5 linked regions of the Coturnix japonica genome follow. The protein of the gene in region 3 purifies or fractionates together with the protein of the main gene of each other region. This does not show direct contact. Links are inferred from orthologs where the notes say so. Each region holds a gene or a part of one and is shown on either strand. Other genes may lie near its edges.

Region 1 (4,192 bases), on a different chromosome or scaffold from region 3:
TTATGGAAGCCTTTTAAATACATCCCATAACTGTGCAGTTTCTTATGGGCCGCGTAAGAAATCAGTAACACATTTCCTTTCTCCTCCCCCTGCTGAGGTGCAAGTGGCTGAATGTTTTCAACTATGCTTTAGCAGAACAGATACTTGGACAAACTTATCCATCTAAAAACACCCCCACTGACAGGCATTGCAGAAGCTAAACTAGAAACCATCCTGTAGAATAAAGCTTCGTGGACATGTTTACAGCCTTGGTTTTACAGATGTGGTGTGCTCAGCTTTCTTACTAGTTATTGACCCTTACTCCTCAGCCTGAGCCATGAAAAGTCACTTAATGAAGATGCTGGTACTCTGCCTTCATAGCAAATGCCTTCAGTGATTTAACACCTAGATGTGAGCTATAGTTATATATTGGTGGGTATGGCCCGCGGTGCTGGAGTTCAAGGAGCATTTGGATGCTGCTCTCAGACGTGTGGAGCCAGGAGTGGGACGCGGTGATCCCTGGGGCTGCCTTCCAACTCAGCATGTTCTGTGGAGCCCCTGCCAACAATTGAATGGGATTACAGTTGAGTACACGTAAGTAACTGTAACATGGGTGCATTACATTCTCTTAGAAGAAGAAAACAGATCCTTTTAACCCAGACTGCCCAGGGAGGTTGTGGATGCCCCGTCCTTGGAGGTGTTCAAGGCCAGGATGGATGGGGCCCTGGGCAACCTGATCTAGTAAATGTGTATGTTTGGTGGCCCTGCCAGGCAGGGGGTGATCCTTGAGGTCCCTTCCAAACCAGGTCGTTCTGTGATTAAAGGAATAAAGTATTTGTTTCCCTTCTGGGGTTAATTTCCCACTAGAAAGCCATACAGGTGTTTTACACGAGTACACCCTGCTGGAATCACGAGGGCTTTCAGTGCTGGTGCCCCCGTTTCAGAAGCCAAAGGCTGGGGCTGCCAGCACCTTTGGTGACTCTCATGGGGCACCTGTCAGCCGGGAATGTACGGCATGGGGGCACTCGGGGCAGTTTGGAGCTCTCAAGCAGAAGCCCCGAATTGATGCTGAAGCGAATCTCCTTGGCCCTGTGTGAAACGCGAGGCCACCGGGGATCTCTGCTAGTCTGCAAGTTCCCACCCCGCAGCTCGCTGTCCGCGTCCCCTCGGGCCGCAGTCTCGGGCCTGAGGCGGAGCTCGGCGACTCTATGGCTGCCGTGCCGAGGGGGAGGCGGCGGAGCGGCACCTCCATCCCGGCTGGCCGCGCTCCAGGCGATGCCGTTCAGCATTGGGGCAGCGAGTCCCGACCGGCCGCCACTCGGCCCGGCTCCCCCGGGGCTGGGATCCGCACCCCGCCCCTCCCCGCCGCCCCCAGGGGAGCACGGCGTGCGGCGCTGCCGGGCGGGGCTTAGCGCGGGGCTTAGCGCTGGGCCCGCCGGGAGCCGTGACGCGGCGCCGAGGCCCCGCCCCGTGGCAGGGTATATAAGGGGCGGCGCTCACGCCGTCGTTCTTTTCCGCTCCGGGTTTGCCGACGCCGTGCGGGTGAGGAGCGTGCGGCGGGGCGGGCCGGGCCCGGGGGTGGGGGGAGCGGGGATGCTGGGGGTGCGTGGATGTACCGTGAGCGGGGGGTTGAGGCGCCGCCGTGCAGCGGTGCGTGGGGATGGCGGAGCGGGGGGATGGCGAGATAAGGGGCGGATGGGGGAAGCGGGGCGAGCGGCGGCGTAACGCCGACGTGTCCCATCCGAGGGCTCACGCGAGGCAGCGCCGCGATGAGCACATGGGGCCGCACCGCCGCTTCGGCTTCTTGCGGAGCCGCCTGGCGCTGCTGTGCGGCGTGCGGTGCTCGGCCGTACGCGGGTGGCGGCCGGGGATGGCGGGGCCGCGCCGTCGGTGTGGGCGATGGGGGAAGGGAAGGCCGGGGCACGAGAAAAAAAATGGCCGCCCGCTCTTCCTGCCGCCGTCAGCTCACAAAATGGAGGACGGCGGCCCGGGCGGGGTGAGTCACACACAAAGGAGAGGGGCGGCCCCGCCCTCCGCGCCGCCCCGCGCCGCCGCCCCAGCACGGCCCGGCCCGGCCGCCATGCGGGGAGGGGGCGACGGAGGAGGGGGGCGAGCCGGAGGGGACACGGGCCGCCAACACCGCCCGCCTCTCCCCGCTGCTCGACTCCCCCCTCCCATCCCCCGGTGGGGCGGGGCCGAGCCTACACGGGCCCTCTGCCCCCTGCGGGCGGCGCTGCTGCGGGACGGGGGCGGCCGCTGTAACCGGGATTCCTTCTGGAACTTTCAGGTGTCGTTTCTCTTTGGCCGGAAGAAAGAAGCTAAAGACCATCCGAAATGGGAAAGGAGAAGACTCACATTAACATCGTCGTCATCGGCCACGTCGATTCCGGCAAGTCCACCACCACCGGGCACCTCATCTACAAATGTGGTGGCATCGACAAGAGGACCATCGAGAAGTTCGAGAAGGAGGCGGCCGAGGTGTGTGAGGCAGCCGTGTGGTGGGAGACTGGGGGGAATAAGGGGCAAAAGGAAGGAAACCAGAACGTTTTACTACCACAAGGAGGCGGTTGGGTCGAGATTGTCCTGGTAATTGAACTAGAGTACTCAATCTGTTATGTTAAGGTGAAGTCATCGAAGCATAGAATAAAGAGCATGAAGCTAAATCTGAACGCTTAGAATCAAAATGGGAGCTCCCATCTTCATTCTCGGCCTGGATTGAGAATTACAGAATCGTTAATGTTGGAGAAGACCTTGAAACTCCAACTATCAGCCCATCCCCACCATGGCCACTAACCATGTCCCTCAGTGCCACGTCAGCAGGTTTCTTGGACACTTCAAGGGTAGTGACTCCACCATCTCTGTGCACAGCCTGTTTCAATGCATTGCTGCTCTTATGGAGTAGGAATTACTCCTAATATCCAATCTGGACCTCCCCTGGCACAGCTTTAGACTGTTGTCTCATGTCATCTTGTAGTTTAGTTGAAAATGTAATGATCAGCCTTGTCTCAAGGTGGGAGAGTCTAAGGTACCATTATGTGAACCTGTGGAAGTATTCCAGTTTTCCTTTGTTTTGTTTTAGTGATAAAATAGCACCTCGTAAGCACATGATAAAAGGAAATGCAGTGAATGCTGGGCTGTGTGGCTGTTAAAATACCAACTGGAGCAGGGATGGCATTAGTAACTAAGCTAAAATTTGTAGTGGACACTTGATAGTAGGACTAAGCCTTAAGAGATCCATCATAAAGATGTGTTAGCACAATTAACAAGTTGTCAAGAGGGCTGAAGTGTCAGCAGGTTAAATGACAGAGCAGTTGGCATATCTTGGTAGTAGTGCCAAGTGAACCTAGGCCAGAGTTTTATGAGCAACAGCAGCTTTCAGTGTAAGTCACTCCCTATTAATAACTTTGCTCGTTAGTGTGTATTTCATGGTCTTGGTGAGGTAAATGAAAATATATATCTTGAGGGGTTTTTTTTTCCTGTTTCAAACCCATAGATGGGCAAAGGTTCCTTCAAATACGCCTGGGTCTTGGACAAGCTCAAGGCTGAGCGTGAGCGTGGTATCACTATTGATATTTCCCTGTGGAAATTTGAAACAAGCAAGTACTACGTCACCATCATCGACGCTCCTGGACACAGAGACTTCATTAAGAACATGATCACTGGAACTTCTCAGGTAAGGAAATAAAGGATGTGGGGAGTTGAGGGAAGCTGCTCCTTGGCTGGTTTACAGCAGGGAAATTGCCCATGTGCTTTAGTGTGCGTGTAGGCTTTCTAACAAGGGCTTTTTTCTACCTTTTCAAAGGCTGATTGTGCTGTCCTGATTGTTGCTGCTGGTGTTGGTGAGTTCGAGGCCGGTATTTCCAAGAACGGGCAGACCCGCGAGCACGCTCTTCTGGCCTACACCCTGGGTGTGAAACAGCTGATCGTTGGTGTTAACAAGATGGATTCCACTGAGCCCGCTTACAGCCAGAAGAGATACGAAGAGATCGTCAAGGAAGTCAGCACTTACATCAAGAAAATTGGCTACAACCCAGACACTGTAGCTTTTGTGCCAATCTCTGGTTGGAACGGGGACAACATGCTGGAGCCCAGCTCTAACGTAGGTTTCCCTGTTTTCCTTTTTAATATTAGGAAATGGAACTAGCAGGATCATTAAGATAAGTTAAACAATAGTTAAATACGTGGGTTTGGGTTTTTTCAGTAGTAGTATTTT
Region 2 (4,250 bases), on a different chromosome or scaffold from region 3:
TACACACTGTCTTAGTTTTTTTCCATTTACTGATATCAAGAAACTTAATCTTTTTTTTTCAATTGTGAACATTTCTTAGAAGTTTTGAAGAACTTTGTGTAACCTTTATAACTATGATTTAAAAGGAAAAGCAAATACATTAGTATGTTTGCCTTAACTTGTAGACTAATCCAATTATTGTAAAATAAACCATGAAATCAATGATTTTTCTAAAATTATGCAGACATTGTATCATCTATAAGCTTAATATTTTCTAGTAAATCAGATAAAGTAGATTTTTCTCTGTTCATCCTGTAAAACAGGTACCAGATTGGTTTAACATGAAGTACTAGCCTGGTAATTTTTCACTTGCATTCTCAGGTTTATCCATTTGCCTCTGTTTGTGACTTTCCTATCCAGCATAGTTTTCACCTTAGTGGCTGACTTGTCATTTTCTTTGGTGGAAATGTTTTTTAAGGGAAGTAGCTGGTTTCTTTCCAGAAGGGGAAAGTAAACTGGCAGAAGGGTGTTCAGTAGAAAAAGGTAATACTGCCCCACTTCTATACAAAAGAGAAGCTTTGCTTCAGAAAACAAGTAGTAAAGGCATACCCAGTAAAGGAATGCCTGAACTGTGTCTCCTTCTGCTAACTGGATTTAGAGCTCAGGACACCTTTTGTTGTTTGAATCCACAGTCTCTTGTTTGTTGAATGCTTTCTGTCTCTCCCTTGAACCGCACGTCCTTTCCAAGAGCTGCTGTTCTCTTGTATAATCTCAGAATGTTGTAAAACTAGGCTTTACTTGATTAATCATTCATCACAGGGGGATTGCTGCTTTGTATGGGTTTGTAGCCCTTCAGCAGAGCAGCAGAATTCCAGTGAATGGCATTTTTTGATTGGAGATGCTGACCAATGTCAGTGTCAGTCTCTGTAATTACACTCTCCAGTACTGCTGCATGGAGGGCTAGGTTTATTTTCCAATAGGGTGAATTGCACAGTGTAGTAAAGCACAGCACTGCACATGGAATGCTTCTAAGACAGGGGTTCCTCAGCTTCACATGCTCTTTGCATTGAGTTGCATAGGCACAGCCTCAGACTTCTGGTTATTGGTGCCCAGTGGCTATTAGCAACTCACATCGTGTATATACTATTTTCTATTAATGGCAACCACACTAATACTGTGCTGTTCATCTTCCAAATACAAAGGTGTAATTCCTAAGGAACTCATCTATAAATAGACTATAAGGGACAAAGACTACAATGTATATACAGTTACCACAATTGTAAATATTTTAAGTAGGACTGTGGGAAACAGTTTTTAGACTAGTCCTCGTTGTTCAGTGTTAGTAGCTCATTAAATTTTTTCAATCCTCTTGGTATTGGGTCTGTCTCTTCAACCTTCAGCCCGATCCCTGCTCGGGGCATCACAGCGGGGCGGTGCTCGGTCGGGGGGGGAACGTGTCCCCTTCCGGGGGGCGGAGTTGGGCCTGCGCCGTGCTGCTTCCGCCGGAAGAAGTGCCGGGAGCTGAGCGGCCATGAGCCGCCTGCGGGAGGAGGATGATCCGTACGTGGTGGAGGAGCCCAGCGACGAGGAGCGAGCGCTCAGCAGGTGCCGGCCGGCTCCCGGGGCGGGCTGGGGGCCGCCGCTTCCCTCTGCTGCAGGGTTTGGTCTGCCTCGTGCTGCCGGTCACGGAGGAGGCCGCTGATGGTGGGAAGGGTCTGTCTGCTACGAGTGCGCTCTGGCAGCCCGGAAGGCAAATGGGATCCTGGGCTCCATCAGGAGAGGGGTGGTCAGCAGGGATAGGGAGGTGATTGTCCCTCTCTACTCTGCTCTTGTGAGGCCCCATCTGGAGTACTGTGTCCAGGTGTGGAGCCCTCAGTACAAAAAAGATTGGAGATTTTGGAAAGGGTCCAGAGGAGGAACAGGAAGATGATCAGGGGGCTGGAGCACCTCCCCTATGAGGACAGGCTGAGGGAGCTGGGCTTGTTCAGCCTGGAGAAGAGAAGGTTGTGGGGTGACCTCATTGCAGCCTTTCAATACCTGAAGGGAACTTACTCCCAGGAGGGGAGTAAACTCTTCTAAAGGGCTGATAATAGCAGGACTAGGGGAAATGGTTTTAAGTTAAAAGAGGGAAGATTTAAGTTGGATGTTAGGGGGAAGTTCTTCACTAGGAGAGTGGTTAGGCCCTGGAACAGGCTGCCCAGGGAGGTTGTTGATGCCCTGTCCTTGGAGGTGTTCAAGACCAGGTTGGACGGGGCCCTGGGCAACCTGATCTAGTAAAGGTGTGTGTTTGGTGGCCCTGCCAGGCAGGGGGGTTGGAACTACATGATCCTTGAGGTCCCTTCCAACCCGGGTCATTCTGTGTGATTGTGTGTGTGTGTGTGTGCGCTGCTCCTTTGCATTAAAACCAGTGGGTTTCACATAAGTACACAGATAAGTGCTTCTCGGTATTTCCACACAGCTCAGGTGGTGATTGTTGATTAGCTTGTGTAGCGAGCTGTTGGTAATAATTAGGCGTGTGATGTTTCAATGTTTGTAGCTCTGAAGATGAGGTGGATGTGCTCTTACACGGCACTCCTGACCAGAAGCGGAAGCTGTTACGGGAGTGCCTGACTGGGGAGAGTGAATCTTCCAGCGATGATGAGTTCCAGAAGGAGATGGAGGCAGAGCTCGACACCACCGTGAGGAACATAGAAGGCACGTGGAAATCACCAGAAATGGGTAAATCATTCTTAACACCTGCTTGCCTGTTAAACTGAGGGTTAAGCGGTGTCCAATTAAGGAGTTGAAGTGTTCTTACAACTGAGGGGGGATTTGTGGTAGCAGTGAGGTGCTGAGACCTGTGGAGAAGTCTTAAAATGGCTCTTCCGTCCTGCAGAAATGGGTACTTGGGTACCTTGAGAGCACTTGTTTCATCCATTCTAAGTTTTTTGGTTATGTTGTTTCTGAACCTCTAATTTCCTGTTTCTCTTTGATTTCTTGTTGAATGATCAGCCCTCTTTTTTCCCCGGTGTCTCTGTAACTTATGTTGTAAGTGATTTTCACGTGTGTATTTGGAAGCCATTCACGCAGTTTGCAGTCTCTTTGTCCAATGGCTCAGGACACTATCAACATTTGGAGCACGTTCTTGCTGAAAGTAATGGCATGTGGTGGGTTAAGATTGCAAATCAGGCGGGGAAAAGAGTCAAGAAAAATATTAATCCCCTAAGTGCTCATAACTATAAGTTACATGAAGTAGTGAAACTGTGTAAAGGATTTATCCATTCTGGACTTCGTATGCTGTTTTGGGTGCTGTAGATTGCTCTGGCATTTGAAGAACTTGTATTTCTTTTACCTGTAAATGAAATCACACAAGTAACATAGTTGATTGGGACATGGGAACAAACTGGGAGAGCTGCAGCTTAATACACACAGATGTACTGGGGGGCTCTTGAGTAGGGCAGCTTGGAAATGATGGTTTGTACTGGGCTATATGCATGTTATCCTTTTGGTGAGATGTTCTTACCACTTCCCTCTTCAATTTAATGCAGGTACTTCTTCAAGCGCTGGAGAGGCTGGATCTGCCACCACTTCAAAATACTATGATGACATTTACTTTGATTCTGATTCAGAAGATGAAGACAAAACTGGTAAGGGTCTGAGGGAGAAGGCAGCATCTTCATATTAGTGCTGTATCTCAGATACAGTAGAATCCTCTCAGGGCATCAGAGGCTATTGCTGAAGAGGGACTTTTGGGGGCAGTTACCAGCCTGTATCATTTCAGCAAAGTTCTAGCAACTTTGTGATGTATCCTAATGTATGTAAGGTGTTTTAAAACTTTGGGGTGGTCTATACAGAGGAGAGAAAAGCTAGATATTTATGAATTAATTTACATTTATTGCAGGTATTGAAAATGAAAATTGGAAAGATTATTTTTTGATTAGTTGAGTAGAGAATCATTGTATGTCTGTCTGATGGAACCTGTGCATGCCCAAATCTCTACAGTTATGCAAGATGTCCTGAAAAAAAGAAAGCATCAGCAACGTCGGATTCCTACCAATGATGAGCTGCTGTATGACCCGGAAGAAGACAGTCGAGACCAAGAGTGGGTAGACTCACAGAGGAGGAGGTAAGAGACTGTAAATAATAGGAGGTAGGATGCTTACGATAAACTGCAAAATTCCTGTGAACATGGTGAATATATAGAAAAACCCTTTGCTGTTGTGTTCACTTAGTGCCTTAGAATTTACAGCACAGGGAATTTAAAAACTTGTAAAATTGTTGCATATATGGAA
Region 3 (4,190 bases):
CTGGCAGGACTCCTCTTTCTCCTGCGTTTTTCCTGGGGTACAAGTAAGATTTTATATCTTTGGGGCTTCCACAGGAGAACTCTTCCATTCTTATAGGCCTTCTTACTCAGCCATCCCATTACACCGACGTCTGTAACTAATTGCAGCAGCCTGGACTCAGCAGCTCATGTCATTCTTCTCATCCCGTGGGATGAACGTCTGTGCCTGTCGCTCGTTAGTCCTCCCAGTAACGAGATCTTCCAATGGGGTCAGGGCTCTGCTGGCCCTCGTGAGTGGGGAAACTGCACCCACGGAGAGAAGCTGTTCTGCTCTCCTGTGGATGGCTCCTGGCTGCTGATATCACACCACATTGCAGGCTTGAGTACTGAGTACTTGTGTACTGAGCAGGAATGTGTTTTTTGATCATATTCTAACAACAGAACTGCGGCACAGAGTCCTTTTACACGGACAAGCAATGCCATAAATGCCATTTTAAAGGTTTCCCTTTACTCAGAGCTGACAGCACGACCACATTAAGGCAGAATGAGGCTTCCAGCACTACATGCTCCAGCATGGGATGAGCCTGCCATGTGTTGGTCAAGTCCTGGATGTATCTACAGATCTCTCTGTGGATGTGAGGGGATGGGGCTGAGGTGGAGGACACTGGGGGCGTCCCGCACCACCTGCCCTCAAGGATCTTCCTGCTGCCATTCAGGAGCCCTGGGACATCCAAGGCAGGGCAGGCGATGGCTCCTGCCCCGGGGAGGCCCAGCAGCAGAGCAGGAGGAGCCCTGCGGGAAGGCCCAGCGTCTGACAGACCTGGGGGGCTCCGCTCCCACCTGAACTCCTGGTACGACCCCAGGCGCTGCCTCACGGCGCGGAGCTTGGCGTTATTCTCCCTCTCGTGCCTCTCGTCGGCCTCCAGCGCGGCCCGCAGCTCCTCCCGCAGCGCCGCCATGTCCACAGCTCCGCCCGCGTCCATCGGCTGTCGCGACAGTCACGACAGGAGCGCGACAAGCTGTGGGGATACGGATAAGGATAAGGATAAGGATAAGGATACGGATAAGGATACGGATAAGGATAAGGCTCCTGTTGTGACAGCGATACCCACTGAGGTATCACCTCAGCGGCAGCGTGGGCCCTGCTGCCATAATGGCTCGCAGCCGACCCCTCATGTCGCGATAGGCCGCCATGCCGACACACAGCACCCCGAGGGATTCCTGTCGCGATATCCCCCGCTGGGTCCCTCACTGGGCCGCTCACCCTCATTCCTATCGCGACAGGCCCCGCCCACGAGCCCCGCTGACCCGGCAGCCTCAATTCCTATCGCGACAGGGCCCAGCTCCGCCCGCCGCGCCCGCTACTCCCGTTGTCATGGAGACAGGGCCGCCTTCAGGACCCAACGAGGCTGCCCGCGGCGCGCCTGACTGAACCGCGCCGGCAGCAGCGCCGCTGTCGAACCGCCCGGGACAGGCGCCATGGGCAGCCCGGGTCCTTCCGCTGCGCTGTCGGCGGCGCCAACGGCGGAGAGTGAGCGGGGAACGTGAGGGTGAGTGAGTGGGGGGGTGTGGGGCGGGATATGGGGCAGGGGTATGGGGTATGGGGTATGGGGTATGGGGTATGGGGTATGGGGTAAGGGGAGGGAATAGGGGGTGAGGCCAAGAAATCAGGGCTAAGGGCTGGAGCCGGGGCCTGGGCCTTGGGGCTTAGGGCTTAGGACCGGGGACAGGTTCTGTGAGGCATGTTCTGGTATTGAGACCGGTTCTGTCCGTGGGGCCGGTTCTGTCCGTGGGGCCGGTTCTGTCCGTGGGGCCGGGTCTGTCCGTGGGGCCGGGTCTGTCCGTGGGGCCGGGTCTGGCTGTGAGGCAGGTTCTGGATGTGGGACCCATTCTGGATATGGGGCCGGTTTGGGCTCTGGGACTGAGGCTGGATCTGGATCTTGGTCAGGTTCTGGGGCTGGGATTGAGGCTGGGTTGTAGTTCCAGGGGTTCTCCCGGCTCTGACCCCATCTCTTCACCCCCAGCATGGATACTGACCTGTATGATGAGTTTGGGAACTACATCGGGCCAGAGCTGGACTCTGATGACGAGGATGATGAGTTGGGCCGGGAGTCCAAGGACCTGGATGAGGTGAGTGCGTGGCTGTGGCAGGGCTGTTCTGTGCTGTGCAGCCACACACAGCAGGTGTTAAGCATGTCCTGCCCCGTGCCTGGCTCCCATTGCAGGGAAGGCTCTGCAGGATGGAGCGTGCCCTTTGTGCTGTCAGTTCCCTGTTCCTCCTGATGTGTGACACCAAGATTTACCTCCAGCCACAGTTCAGGCTTATGAAACACTTTGGTGCTGGCAGCAGCTCAGTGTGAGTGTTGGTTGCAGCTCGAGGATGACGACGATGATGATGATATGGGGGACCACGATGAGGACCACCCTGGGATGGAGGTGGTGCTGCATGAGGACAAGAAGTATTACCCCACTGCTGAGGAGGTCTATGGGCCTGAAGTGGAGACCATAGTGCAGGAGGAGGACACGCAGCCTCTCACTGGTGAGTGGGGTTTAAATCATCTCATTTGGTCCCCCCATAGGAAGAGAATCTGTCAATTCAAAGCTGTGTTTTTTGTCTGCGGAAAATCCCCATTCGATGTTTGGAGGTGCTGGGTTCAGGTCACCCATAACAGTGTTTTATTGTTCTTTCTTTTGTTTTCAGAGCCTATTATTAAACCTGTGAAAACCAAGAAGTTCTCTTTGATGGAACAGACGTTACCAGTCACTGTCTATGAGATGGAGTAAGTGATGTGCAGAGTTTGAAGCTTTGTTTCAGGCCATCTGTGCTGCAATTTCCTCACTTCTCATTGCTTACAGGCAGGGTGGGGAGGCAGAGGGGTGATCTATATGGAGGCGGGAGCTTACAGGGGGGCACTGGGTTTGTTCTTACTAACAGCAGCAATATAAGCAAGTACAGCTGGCTCCCTGAGTCTGAACCAAAAAGAAGAGGAAGAAAAGCACAAGGCCAGCTATTTTACAGCTATTTTGCCATCCTCGTAGGCAACACGGTGCATTTCCTATTATTTTTCTGATCCCTTTGTCCTCTGTTTACTCCATCAGTAATTAATTCTAACTCCTGCTCTTCCTTGATGTCAATGGTTTGGATGGGACCACGCAGAAGTCCCAGTGGGACTTAACCAGAAACCTGCAAGCTCGCTATTGATTTCACATTTAGCCTTGGTTTAAGACCAATAGGCAAGCATTTAATTTGTATTCCTATCGATTTCTGTGTTTTTTAAGCTCTTAATCAAAATGTTGTATGCTAAAAAGCCTGCTTCATAAGTGAAAATTAAAGTGTTTTTGAAGAAGGAGATTATTTGACCGGACTTACTATCCGCAGATCCATAATAATCGATCCTTGGCTGATAGCTTCCCATTATTTTGAAGAGTAGCTGCTAATTTAGGCTCTCAGTTCCATTTTGGCTGGGATCTCTGCAGAAGTGACCAGCCCATCAGTCCCATCTCGTTGGTGATTAAAAACCATTTAAGTTCTATGACTGTTCCTTGGGTCCCTGGGAACATCAGTGTTTTAAGACCTGAAAACCAGAATTAAGACCTGCAAGTTAGAATTAATAGTCTGTGGAACCCTGTGGTTACCTTTTAAAAGTGTGTGGGGTGTTGTTATCCACCTCTGTGGTTTGGTTGACTACCTGCCACCATTGGAGCGGAAGCGTTTCCTCCTCCGAGTTGCTCTAATACTGTCTAGAAGAGAAGAAAGGCGTTCGGAGTATTTAATCTCTTGCAGTTTTACCAACTCCGTCTCCTCCCACCCACTGCCATCTGTCCAGGACTCCAACTCTCTTGTCCTCCCCATCTGCAGAGTGGGATTCTTCCTCCGCAGGGCATGAAAGTTTGGAGAGGATTCAGAGGGGCCCTTGGGTGCAAAGCGGCGCCTACTTTTCTTAGACACAGCAGAAGCCTCCAACAGTCTTTTGTGCTTCATCCCTCCAGTTTCCTGGCAGATCTGATGGACAACTCCGAGCTGATTCGGAATGTGACTCTGTGTGGGCACCTTCACCACGGCAAGGTAGTGTGAATATCCCACGTGCGTTGGGTAGCAGTAACGATCTCCCTGTTCCTTACTTTGACTGCTGCTCTTTTGACCCCCCAATCCCTGCAGCAGCCTTCTCTCCTGCTCCTGTTGCTCTGCAGTTATTCCTGGCTTTTCTCTCC
Region 4 (4,177 bases), about 2.2 Mb from region 3:
CCCCATAGATCCCCATAGAGACCCCATGGACCCCATAGATCCCCACAGAGACCCCATAGATCCCATAGATCAGGTTGCCCAGGGCCCTGTCCAACCTGGTCTCGAACACCTCCAAGGTGTTCAAGGGCAGCACCCAGATCGATCCATCTACCTACAGAACAGCAGCATCCCCTTCTAGGCGCTCACATCTAAACGTTTTATAATATTTCTTTTAGAGATATATTTTATTCTTCTCAATTCCAAAGGCCTTTCGTTGAAGGCATCATGGCCGTCAGGCCCGGTTACAACCTCCCCACAGCTATCACCCCACCTCACTCACCCAGATCCTTATCGTTGATACCCAGGTGGTTGTCAAGCTCGGTGCAGACCTTAGAGACCAGCGATAAATACTCGAGCTTGGCGAGCTCCTCTAAAGCCGCCAGGTCCGCCATCTTTCCCCCACCCCCACCCCACACACCAGGAGCCACTTCCGCATCCGGGAAGCACCGGAAGTCAAGCTGATCATAGAGAGGATAGAGAGCTAGAGCGGCTCTGTCCGGATCCAATCAGCGCTGGGGGGTGCCGGAAGTGGCCGTTGCTAGGCGACGCTTGCCGCCGCCATGTCGGCCTTGCACTGGGAGGCGAGGCGAAGGCAGGCCGCGCTGGAGCGGCGCAGGGCCGCGTTAATACGGGTGTGTGTAGAGCGAGGGAAGGGCTGGGGAACGGAGCTAGGGCGGCTCTTATAGCCCCATATGTACTTTGCAGTCCGCGGGCTGCTCTAGAATGGATACGAGGCACGGTATTGATAACAGCCCGACGCAGGCATTGCCTCCCGGTGAGCAGAAAGCGGCCCTGGGGTTAAAGGAAGGGCTGAGAGCCGGGCTGGGCTCTACTCAGCTCTACCTTGTTCCTATTATAGAGCCTCAGCCGTATCGTTGCTGCTGCCCGAGTCATCAAGCGTCCAACCCAAGTGCCAGGCTGCCCAATCGCTTCACGGTAAGGAGCTGCCTCAAAGAGCTGAGATCCATCTGTTTAGAAGCCAAAGTAATTTCCCTTTGCATCTATAGGCTATTCAGTACATGCAGCAATGGTGAGGACCACAGACCACAACAAGCAGAGCAAAGCACCGCCTGTGTACAGCACAAGGAGCCATGTCAGCTAAAGCTAAGAGCTAAATAAAATAGCACTGCGCCTCAATGTCAATGGTCTGTGTTAAGCATTAAGCTCCTTCCTCTGCCTGGGCCTGCCCGGCTCTGGGGTTGCAGGCCCAGAGGCTCATTGCTATCAGCGAGCTAAACAACCAATAGGAAGCAGCCTTGCTCAGCATGTGGTACCGCCGCGAAGCTCGCTGGGAGTTGTGTCCTACCCTGTAACTACAATAACAACGAAGAACTACAAGTCCCAGAATGCCTCGTGGAAAGCGCGGGCCAATAGGGAGAGGGCGTGTTGAGGTTGCACGCATGCGCGGTAGGGTGGGAGGCCGAGGATTCATGTGGAGGTCAGGGGAGCTGCGGGAGGAGAGTGGGGTGGGAGGGGGCGGAGGGTCTTGGGGTATTGGAGCTGAGCTGGGGGCTGAGGGTACGAACGAGGCCTTCACCCGCCAGGTCTGTGTCCTGAGAGTCAGAGGCCTCGGGAAACGTGGGTGGGAGGAGGGAGGGGGGGAGAATGGGGAATTAAAGGGGGTTCGAGGTGTGGGGTTCCTCGAGGGGTTTTGGGGGGGGGGAAGGGGGGGATGTGGGGTCTTGGGTTCAGAGTCCAAGGTGATAAGGGGGGGGGGAGTGGAGAGGCCTGTATGGCTGCTGAGGGGCAAAGAAATTGCTATTATAATGAATGATCCCATTTCATGGTGGGCTTTTTGGATTGGGGTTCCATCCCAGCTCTAGGTACACACTAGGGCTGCCTGGTTTTCTCGTTTCCTATAGTTTTACCGAAGTTATGGGATTTTTTTTTTGCAGGAGGTTCATCATAAAGGGGTTAGAACAGCACGTGAGAAATGGCTGCCAAAGTGTTTGAGAGCATTGGGAAGTTCGGCCTGGGGTTGGCTGTTGCAGGTGGAGTCGTCAATTCTGCTCTATATAATGGTGAGTGGGACAGGCTGAGTGTTTCCAGTTCTCTTTATGTCCTTATTATCTGGCTGCTCTGTGCTTTTATTGCTTGTGGTATCTGGGGAAGACAGTGATAAAGCCTCTTTCAGGGCTGTTTTGTACCTTGTGCATTGCATAAGTAGGAGGAATTCAGGCTTTTTCAACACAACTCTCTTGTGAGCAGGCTGAGGGCTCAGTGGTAATGGATGAGTATTCTCTTTTGATTTGTTATTCCTAAGAATATTAATAGCTTTGCCATTTTTACATAGCAAAAAGCCTTAACTAACCTCCATAGACTGTCCCTATGGAAGTTTTGCTGCTGTGCAGATATAACTCATGATGCTACTGAATCTATGTTGTTTTCTTTTCCAGTTGATGCAGGACACAGAGCTGTTATCTTTGATCGATTCCGTGGAGTCCAGGATACGGTGGTAGGAGAAGGAACTCATTTCCTCATCCCCTGGGTACAGAAACCGATCATTTTTGATTGCCGTTCTCGCCCACGTAACATACCTGTCATTACTGGCAGCAAAGGTGAGGTTTGGGACTGGGCAGCTCTATAAGATCCAGGCACTCTGATGTGCACTGTGTGTGTCTCACTCTTCTGCTGCTTTGGAGCTGGGTGGGCAGAGGCATGAGAAAAAGCTTTTTGAAGACACTTATGATCATTAACGTGCTAGAGGACTATAGGAATGAGGGTTTTATCTCTGAACATGGAGATTCTATGAGTGTAGAGTTTAGCAGTCAGGAATAGTTTGATACTTATCCTTTAAATAAAAAGTCTGTGTTTACTGTAGGGTAATTCCCTGCATTACAGACAAACTGAAGCTTCAGTTTAATCTGTAAGGAGGATTTGGATCCCTATGTGAAATATAGTCCTTGGTTAATGAAATACTACAAACCTTTCCTTTGTTAGAAGTCTGAATGTTTGTCTTATTTTGCTTTCCTCTGGAGGGGACAGCTTCAGTATATCTCCTGCCCATAAGGTTTAATGCTAAATTTGTGCCTGTTTCTGCAGATCTACAGAATGTGAACATCACGCTGCGTATCCTGTTCAGACCCGTGACTGCGCAGCTACCCCGGATCTTCACAAGTATTGGGGAGGACTATGATGAGCGTGTCCTGCCCTCCATCACAACTGAAATCCTCAAATCTGTTGTGGTAAGAACAGCACAAATGCTGGGGTCAACCTGTCGCTTCTCTTTTGTTTTAGCACTAATGAGACGTGCTGAATTGTGGAAAATGTGAAGCTCTAAAATGAGGCTTCTCTTTATACCCCTTGGCTCTAATGTGCAATACAGAAGAGTTAAAACTGTATCTATGCTGATTGCTTCTCTGTCGTTTTAACTACTTGGCTTTATTTTCATCAAGTTGGGTGACAAGTAGAGCATCTGAGAGCTTTCTTCTCACTGTTGTCCATCCTGACTTCAGGCTCGCTTTGATGCTGGAGAATTGATCACTCAAAGAGAACTGGTCTCCAGGCAAGTGAGCGAAGACCTCACAGAGAGAGCAGCAACTTTTGGCCTCATTCTGGATGATGTGTCCTTGGTAAGAGTTCCCTTTCAGTTTTTCTCCCTGTGCAAATAGGGAAGAAAATTGGTAGAGGATCGGAGAAGAGGTGTGAAAGCTTGTGTATGTGGACCCTGTTTGTTTGCAGTTGCACATGATGCAGTGGTTACAGCTCAAGTCAAAGTAGTTGGTTGTGTCACTGGCCACCTATAGACTTTGTTTTTTAAAAGGATGGAAAGCTTGCTAGGTTTAGTTTCTGTTACACTGCATTCTTTTTTTTAGCGATACTGACTTTCCATCTTCTCTGATAAAGGCAAAACGCCTCCTGCCTTAGACATGTGCTGTTGGTAGCAGTGTTGCTGTAAATGCTGTTGTGGACTGTGATTTCTGCCTTGCAGACCCATCTGACCTTTGGTAAGGAATTCACCGAAGCAGTTGAAATGAAGCAAGTGGCCCAGCAAGAAGCAGAGCGAGCCAGGTTCATTGTGGAAAAGGTACTTTATTCTTTTGAGAAACTTTAGCTTGGAAGTAGTTCCTGGTATCTCAGTCATTTCTTCTCACAGTGAATACTTTAGTCACCTGCCCAGGAAACCAGGCAGGTATAT
Region 5 (3,953 bases), on a different chromosome or scaffold from region 3:
CGTAGCGCCGGGTGCAAGGGGGATAGCTCCACCAAACATGCACACCGACTTGTAAAATCATGACACAGATCTAGGTACACTTAATACATAGTCAATGATTTCTGATACATATTCAATGATTTCTTAGACTTCTAATACATTGTCAATAGTTCTAGGAATTCTGATACATATTCAATAGCTCTTTAGCATGCAGACCCCCTCTTGTTCTTATCAGGGGGAATGCAACTCCTCATCCGTGAGGTCTCACTCCTTATCTGCATCCTCCCTGCTCTCCCATAGAATCACAGAATGACCGGGGTTGGAAGGGACCTCAAGGATCATGTAGTTCCAACCCCCCTGCCTGGCAGGGCCACNCAAGGATCATGTAGTTCCAACCCCCCTGCCTGGCAGGGCCACCAAACATACACCTTTACTAGATCAGGTTGCCCAGGAGACCCCATAGATCCCCATAGAGACCCCATAGATCAGGTTGCCCAGGGCCCCATCCAACCTGGCCTTGAACACCTCCAAGGACGGGGCATCCACAACCTCCCTGGGCAGCCTGTTCCAGGCTCCCAGGCCCCTTGTTTCTTTTACTTGTTACCTTTAAGTTTCTTTTACTTCTTTCTCTAAACTACCTTTAAGTTTCCTGCTTCACTCTTCAATGTGACTCATGTTCTCCCCCCACAGGATCCTGTCTCAGGATGGCATCGTTGAGTCAGTGAAGCAGGGCCGGTACTACGAGAAGCCGTGTCGCAAGAGGCAGCGCTTGGCTTATGAAGCGTGCAGGCGTGTGTACAACACTGAGATGGCCCGCAAGATCTCCTTCCTCGCCCGCAAGAGTCGCATGGACCCATGGCTGGGCTGCTAACGGGGTTACAGCCGTCTGTCCTCATGGCCGTCTGTCCTTTGGGTGCTGCTGCTGTTAATAAATGCTGTGTGCAGCGCTCTGCTTCGGCCACGCTCGGGTGTTGCGGTTGGGGGTGGGGGGAGAAGCGCTGGGTTTTGGGTTCTGGGTGGCGTTAATGGGCCGGGCTGGTTCCGCTCGCCCCCACGTGGTTATTTCCCGCCACGCGGGGCGCGCCTTTTCCACCGGTTTCCCGCGCTCTCGTGTCACGTGAGCAAAGCGCGCGGCTTCACTTCCTTCCTTCCATTCTTTCCCGGCAGCCCTCAGGCGGGCGGGACGCGCATGCGCAAAAAGATCCCCGCAGCCATTTCCGCTTCCGCCCCGACGTGCCGTCGCCGTCAGGCCCGTTGTCGCCGTCCGGGCCCGGGGCCTGCGGGGGCCGCGCCCCGCCGCGGTGAGAGGCCGCGGGGAGGAGGGGAGGGAGCGGCTGAGGGGAACGGGGGGGGGAAGGACCGTGAAGGAGCGGATCTGAGGGGACTCGGGGCCCGGCCGTGACGCGGGGTTGCGGGGCGAGGCCAGGCCCCTCCGCTTGGGCCCAACGGGAGCGTTGAGTTGATGCGCTTAAACCCGGGGCTGAGGTTGGGGCTGAGGTTCGGGGTTGGGGTTCAATTAACTCATAACGTTAATTAGAGCCGCTAATTGAAGAGGATCCCTTCAGGAGTTGTGGGAGCTGCCGGGGAACCGAAGGGCTGCGGTTGTTGTGGTCTCAGCATCACGTTAACCGTGTTTTGGGAAGCACCGGAGGGATGTTGACAATAGAAGGACACGGGGAAATAGTTTGGAGTTAAAAGAGGGAAGATTTAGGTTGGATGTTGGGGGAAGTTCTTCACTAGGAGAGTGGTGAGGCCCTGGAACAGGCTGCACAGGGAGGTTGTGGATGCCCCGTCCTTGGAGGTGTTCAAGGCCAGGTTGGACGGGGCCATGGGCAACCTGATCTGTGGGGTCTCTATGGGGATCTATAGGGTCTCTGGGGTCTTTATGGGGATCTATGGGGTCTCTATGGGGTCCATAGGGTCTCTGTGGGGTCTCTATGGGGGATCTATGGGGTCTCTGGGGTTTCTATGGGGATCTATGGGGTCTCTGTGGGGATCTATGGAGTCTCCTGGGCAACCTGATCTAGTAACTGTGTGTGTATGGTGGCCCTGCCAGGTAGGGGGTTGGAACTACATGATCCTTGAGGTCCCTTCCAACCCAGGTCATTCTGTGATTCTGTGGGGTTTATGGAGTCTCTATGGGGATCTATTGGGATCTATGGGGTCTTTGGGGTCTCTGTGGGGTTATTGGGGGTTATATGAGGTTATATGGGGTTATGGGGTCTCTATGGGGTTATGGGGTGGATATGGGGCCTCTATGGGGTTAATGGGGTCTATTGTGGGTTGGAACTACATGATCCTTGAGGTCCCTTCCAACCTGGGTCATTCTGTGATTCTATGGAGGGATGAGGGTCAGTGGGTGCCTCCATGTGGGTGTTACCTGCCCGTTTTCTGCTCCTCTTACGCCCTCAAAGTCCCATAGAGCTCCCAGCACCGACGGCTGTAGGAGCGGCCCAATGATACTGATATGGGGGGGGGAGGGAAATACTATTGGAGCGGCTGCTCTTCTTTCTCCGTCCTCGTTAATTGCAGAAGTTGAAGAGGAACGTGAAGTTTAAGCCAAGTGTGAATTAATCCTGTTTAGCCTTTCTGAGCAAGCATGCAGAAAGCTGTAACGCATCAGCAGTGCTGATATGGCATAGTAATCAGTTATCTTGATGCATCTTGACGCTCAATTAACCTCACCTTGAAGTATTACCTGCTTCCAAGCCTGGACTTAATGATGAATTACTGTAATGATGCCCCTTTGGGCTGTATCTGATGCTCCTTTTTAATGTATCTCATTGAAACCTGCTGTAAAAGAATACAGGGCTGCAAGCTGTGTCCAGCCTTCTCCCTATGGATCATTAGGAGCTTCCCAGCTGATGCTTCAGCCCCTTTGCTGCTCTTTCAGATCCTTCTCTTGGCTGTTTTTCAGTCTCTAACTTGAGAAGCTCTTTGTTACCACATCCAGGATCTTTGCTCTCAGCTTTAGTGATGATAAGTGTATTTTGGATGCTGTTTGCTCTCATTTTAAGGTAAAGGCTCCACAAGGTTTCTCCCATGGGCATGAAATGTTGAGGTCAAACATATTTCCTTAAGAAGATTTTCTCCTGTTTCCAGATAAAGGAGACTTGGTTTCCAAATCAGATTAGTGCCTGGCTACGTAATTAAACATTATTGCATCCGCTTCATTGCAGCTTGTGTTAAAGAACTGCTAACGATTAACGGTGGGAAATTATTGTCTTGAGTCTGATTTGGAATTGGATTCAGTAGGAGCCAACAGGGCAGCAGTGCTGATCTGCTGCTTCATTTAAGCAGCAAACACAAAGGTAGTCAGGCATGTGCTGATTGTTAAGTATCAGTAAACCTAAATGAGATTGAGTTCCCCCTGGTCATTATAAGGGAGGCAGCCTAGAGCTGGGAGTGTGCTCGGAGTTGTATGGGAACCTTATGGGAATGGGAAGAACTCGAGGTGATCCAAGTGTGTGTGAGATGTTGCTGTATGTGTTTAAGGTGTTGTTGTACATGAAAAGCTTCTACTTGTGCTCCTGGAAGTGGTTTGTGGGGCATCTCTAAGTGGGCTGGCGTGAGTGTAGCTGACAGCTGATTCAGGCTGTGTTAGCAGGAGAAACCACGGGCTGAAGCAACACCAAGACCAAGCTTTTCTCCTCCTGTGTGTGAGAATCTTAGAATTATAGGTTGGATGTTAGGGGGAAGTTCTTCACTAGGAGAGTGGTTAGGCCCTGGAACAGGCTGCCTAGGGAGGTTGTGGATGCCCCGTCCTTGGAGGTGTTCAAGGCCAGGTTGGACGGGGCCCTGGGCAACCTGATCTGTGGGGTCTCGATGTGGATCTGTGGGGTCTCCTGGGCAACCTGATCTAGTAAATGTGGATGTTTGGTGGCCCTGCCAGGCAGGGGATTGGAACTACATGATCCTTGAGGTCCCTTCCAACCCGGGTCATTCTGTGATTCTGTAATCTGTGTGTGGAAGTG

What was found. The genes of interacting proteins can lie anywhere in the genome.
Region 1: the proteins of EFTUD2 (region 3) and EEF1A1 fractionate together in Homo sapiens (co-fractionation; 4 studies listed by BioGRID, with this or other methods). This does not show direct contact. The link is inferred for Coturnix japonica from reciprocal best matches to the Homo sapiens genes EFTUD2 and EEF1A1.
Region 2: the proteins of EFTUD2 (region 3) and EAPP purify together in Homo sapiens (affinity purification with mass spectrometry; 4 studies listed by BioGRID and IntAct, counting the BioPlex papers as one, with this or other methods). This does not show direct contact. The link is inferred for Coturnix japonica from reciprocal best matches to the Homo sapiens genes EFTUD2 and EAPP.
Region 4: the proteins of EFTUD2 (region 3) and PHB purify together in Homo sapiens (affinity purification with mass spectrometry; 3 studies listed by BioGRID, with this or other methods). This does not show direct contact. The link is inferred for Coturnix japonica from reciprocal best matches to the Homo sapiens genes EFTUD2 and PHB1.
Region 5: the proteins of EFTUD2 (region 3) and PRPF3 purify together in Homo sapiens (affinity purification with mass spectrometry; 3 studies listed by BioGRID and IntAct, with this or other methods). This does not show direct contact. The link is inferred for Coturnix japonica from reciprocal best matches to the Homo sapiens genes EFTUD2 and PRPF3.

What each region holds. Positions count from the first base shown.
Region 1 is NC_029518.1:74,352,704-74,356,895, forward strand, and holds the start of EEF1A1 (elongation factor 1-alpha 1), read left to right. Parts: upstream 1-1,392; 5' UTR 1,393-1,521; intron 1,522-2,266; 5' UTR 2,267-2,313; coding exon 2,314-2,457; intron 2,458-3,472; coding exon 3,473-3,652; intron 3,653-3,781; coding exon 3,782-4,078; intron 4,079-4,192. UniProt on the Homo sapiens protein: Translation elongation factor that catalyzes the GTP-dependent binding of aminoacyl-tRNA (aa-tRNA) to the A-site of ribosomes during the elongation phase of protein synthesis.
Region 2 is NC_029520.1:32,516,431-32,520,680, reverse strand, and holds the start of EAPP (E2F-associated phosphoprotein), read left to right. Parts: upstream 1-1,450; 5' UTR 1,451-1,510; coding exon 1,511-1,584; intron 1,585-2,515; coding exon 2,516-2,697; intron 2,698-3,506; coding exon 3,507-3,605; intron 3,606-3,960; coding exon 3,961-4,084; intron 4,085-4,250. UniProt on the Homo sapiens protein: May play an important role in the fine-tuning of both major E2F1 activities, the regulation of the cell-cycle and the induction of apoptosis. Promotes S-phase entry, and inhibits p14(ARP) expression.
Region 3 is NC_029542.1:776,150-780,339, reverse strand, and holds the start of EFTUD2 (116 kDa U5 small nuclear ribonucleoprotein component), read left to right. Parts: upstream 1-1,390; 5' UTR 1,391-1,528; intron 1,529-2,002; 5' UTR 2,003-2,003; coding exon 2,004-2,108; intron 2,109-2,351; coding exon 2,352-2,517; intron 2,518-2,679; coding exon 2,680-2,758; intron 2,759-3,968; coding exon 3,969-4,044; intron 4,045-4,190. Other genes in the region: CCDC103 (coiled-coil domain-containing protein 103), read right to left, coding at 819-961. UniProt on the Homo sapiens protein: Required for pre-mRNA splicing as component of the spliceosome, including pre-catalytic, catalytic and post-catalytic spliceosomal complexes. Component of the U5 snRNP and the U4/U6-U5 tri-snRNP complex, a building block of the spliceosome.
Region 4 is NC_029542.1:2,952,415-2,956,591, forward strand, and holds the start of PHB (prohibitin), read left to right. Parts: upstream 1-1,377; 5' UTR 1,378-1,477; exon of another isoform or gene 1,478-1,583; intron 1,584-1,934; 5' UTR 1,935-1,972; coding exon 1,973-2,060; intron 2,061-2,435; coding exon 2,436-2,597; intron 2,598-3,081; coding exon 3,082-3,224; intron 3,225-3,382; exon of another isoform or gene 3,383-3,494; coding exon 3,495-3,611; exon of another isoform or gene 3,612-3,638; intron 3,639-3,970; coding exon 3,971-4,066; intron 4,067-4,177. Other genes in the region: ATP-dependent RNA helicase DHX8, read right to left, coding at 320-431.
Region 5 is NC_029540.1:1,894,025-1,897,977, reverse strand, and holds the start of PRPF3 (U4/U6 small nuclear ribonucleoprotein Prp3), read left to right. Parts: upstream 1-1,153; 5' UTR 1,154-1,280; intron 1,281-3,953. Other genes in the region: MRPS21 (28S ribosomal protein S21, mitochondrial), read left to right, coding at 670-850. UniProt on the Homo sapiens protein: Plays a role in pre-mRNA splicing as component of the U4/U6-U5 tri-snRNP complex that is involved in spliceosome assembly, and as component of the precatalytic spliceosome (spliceosome B complex).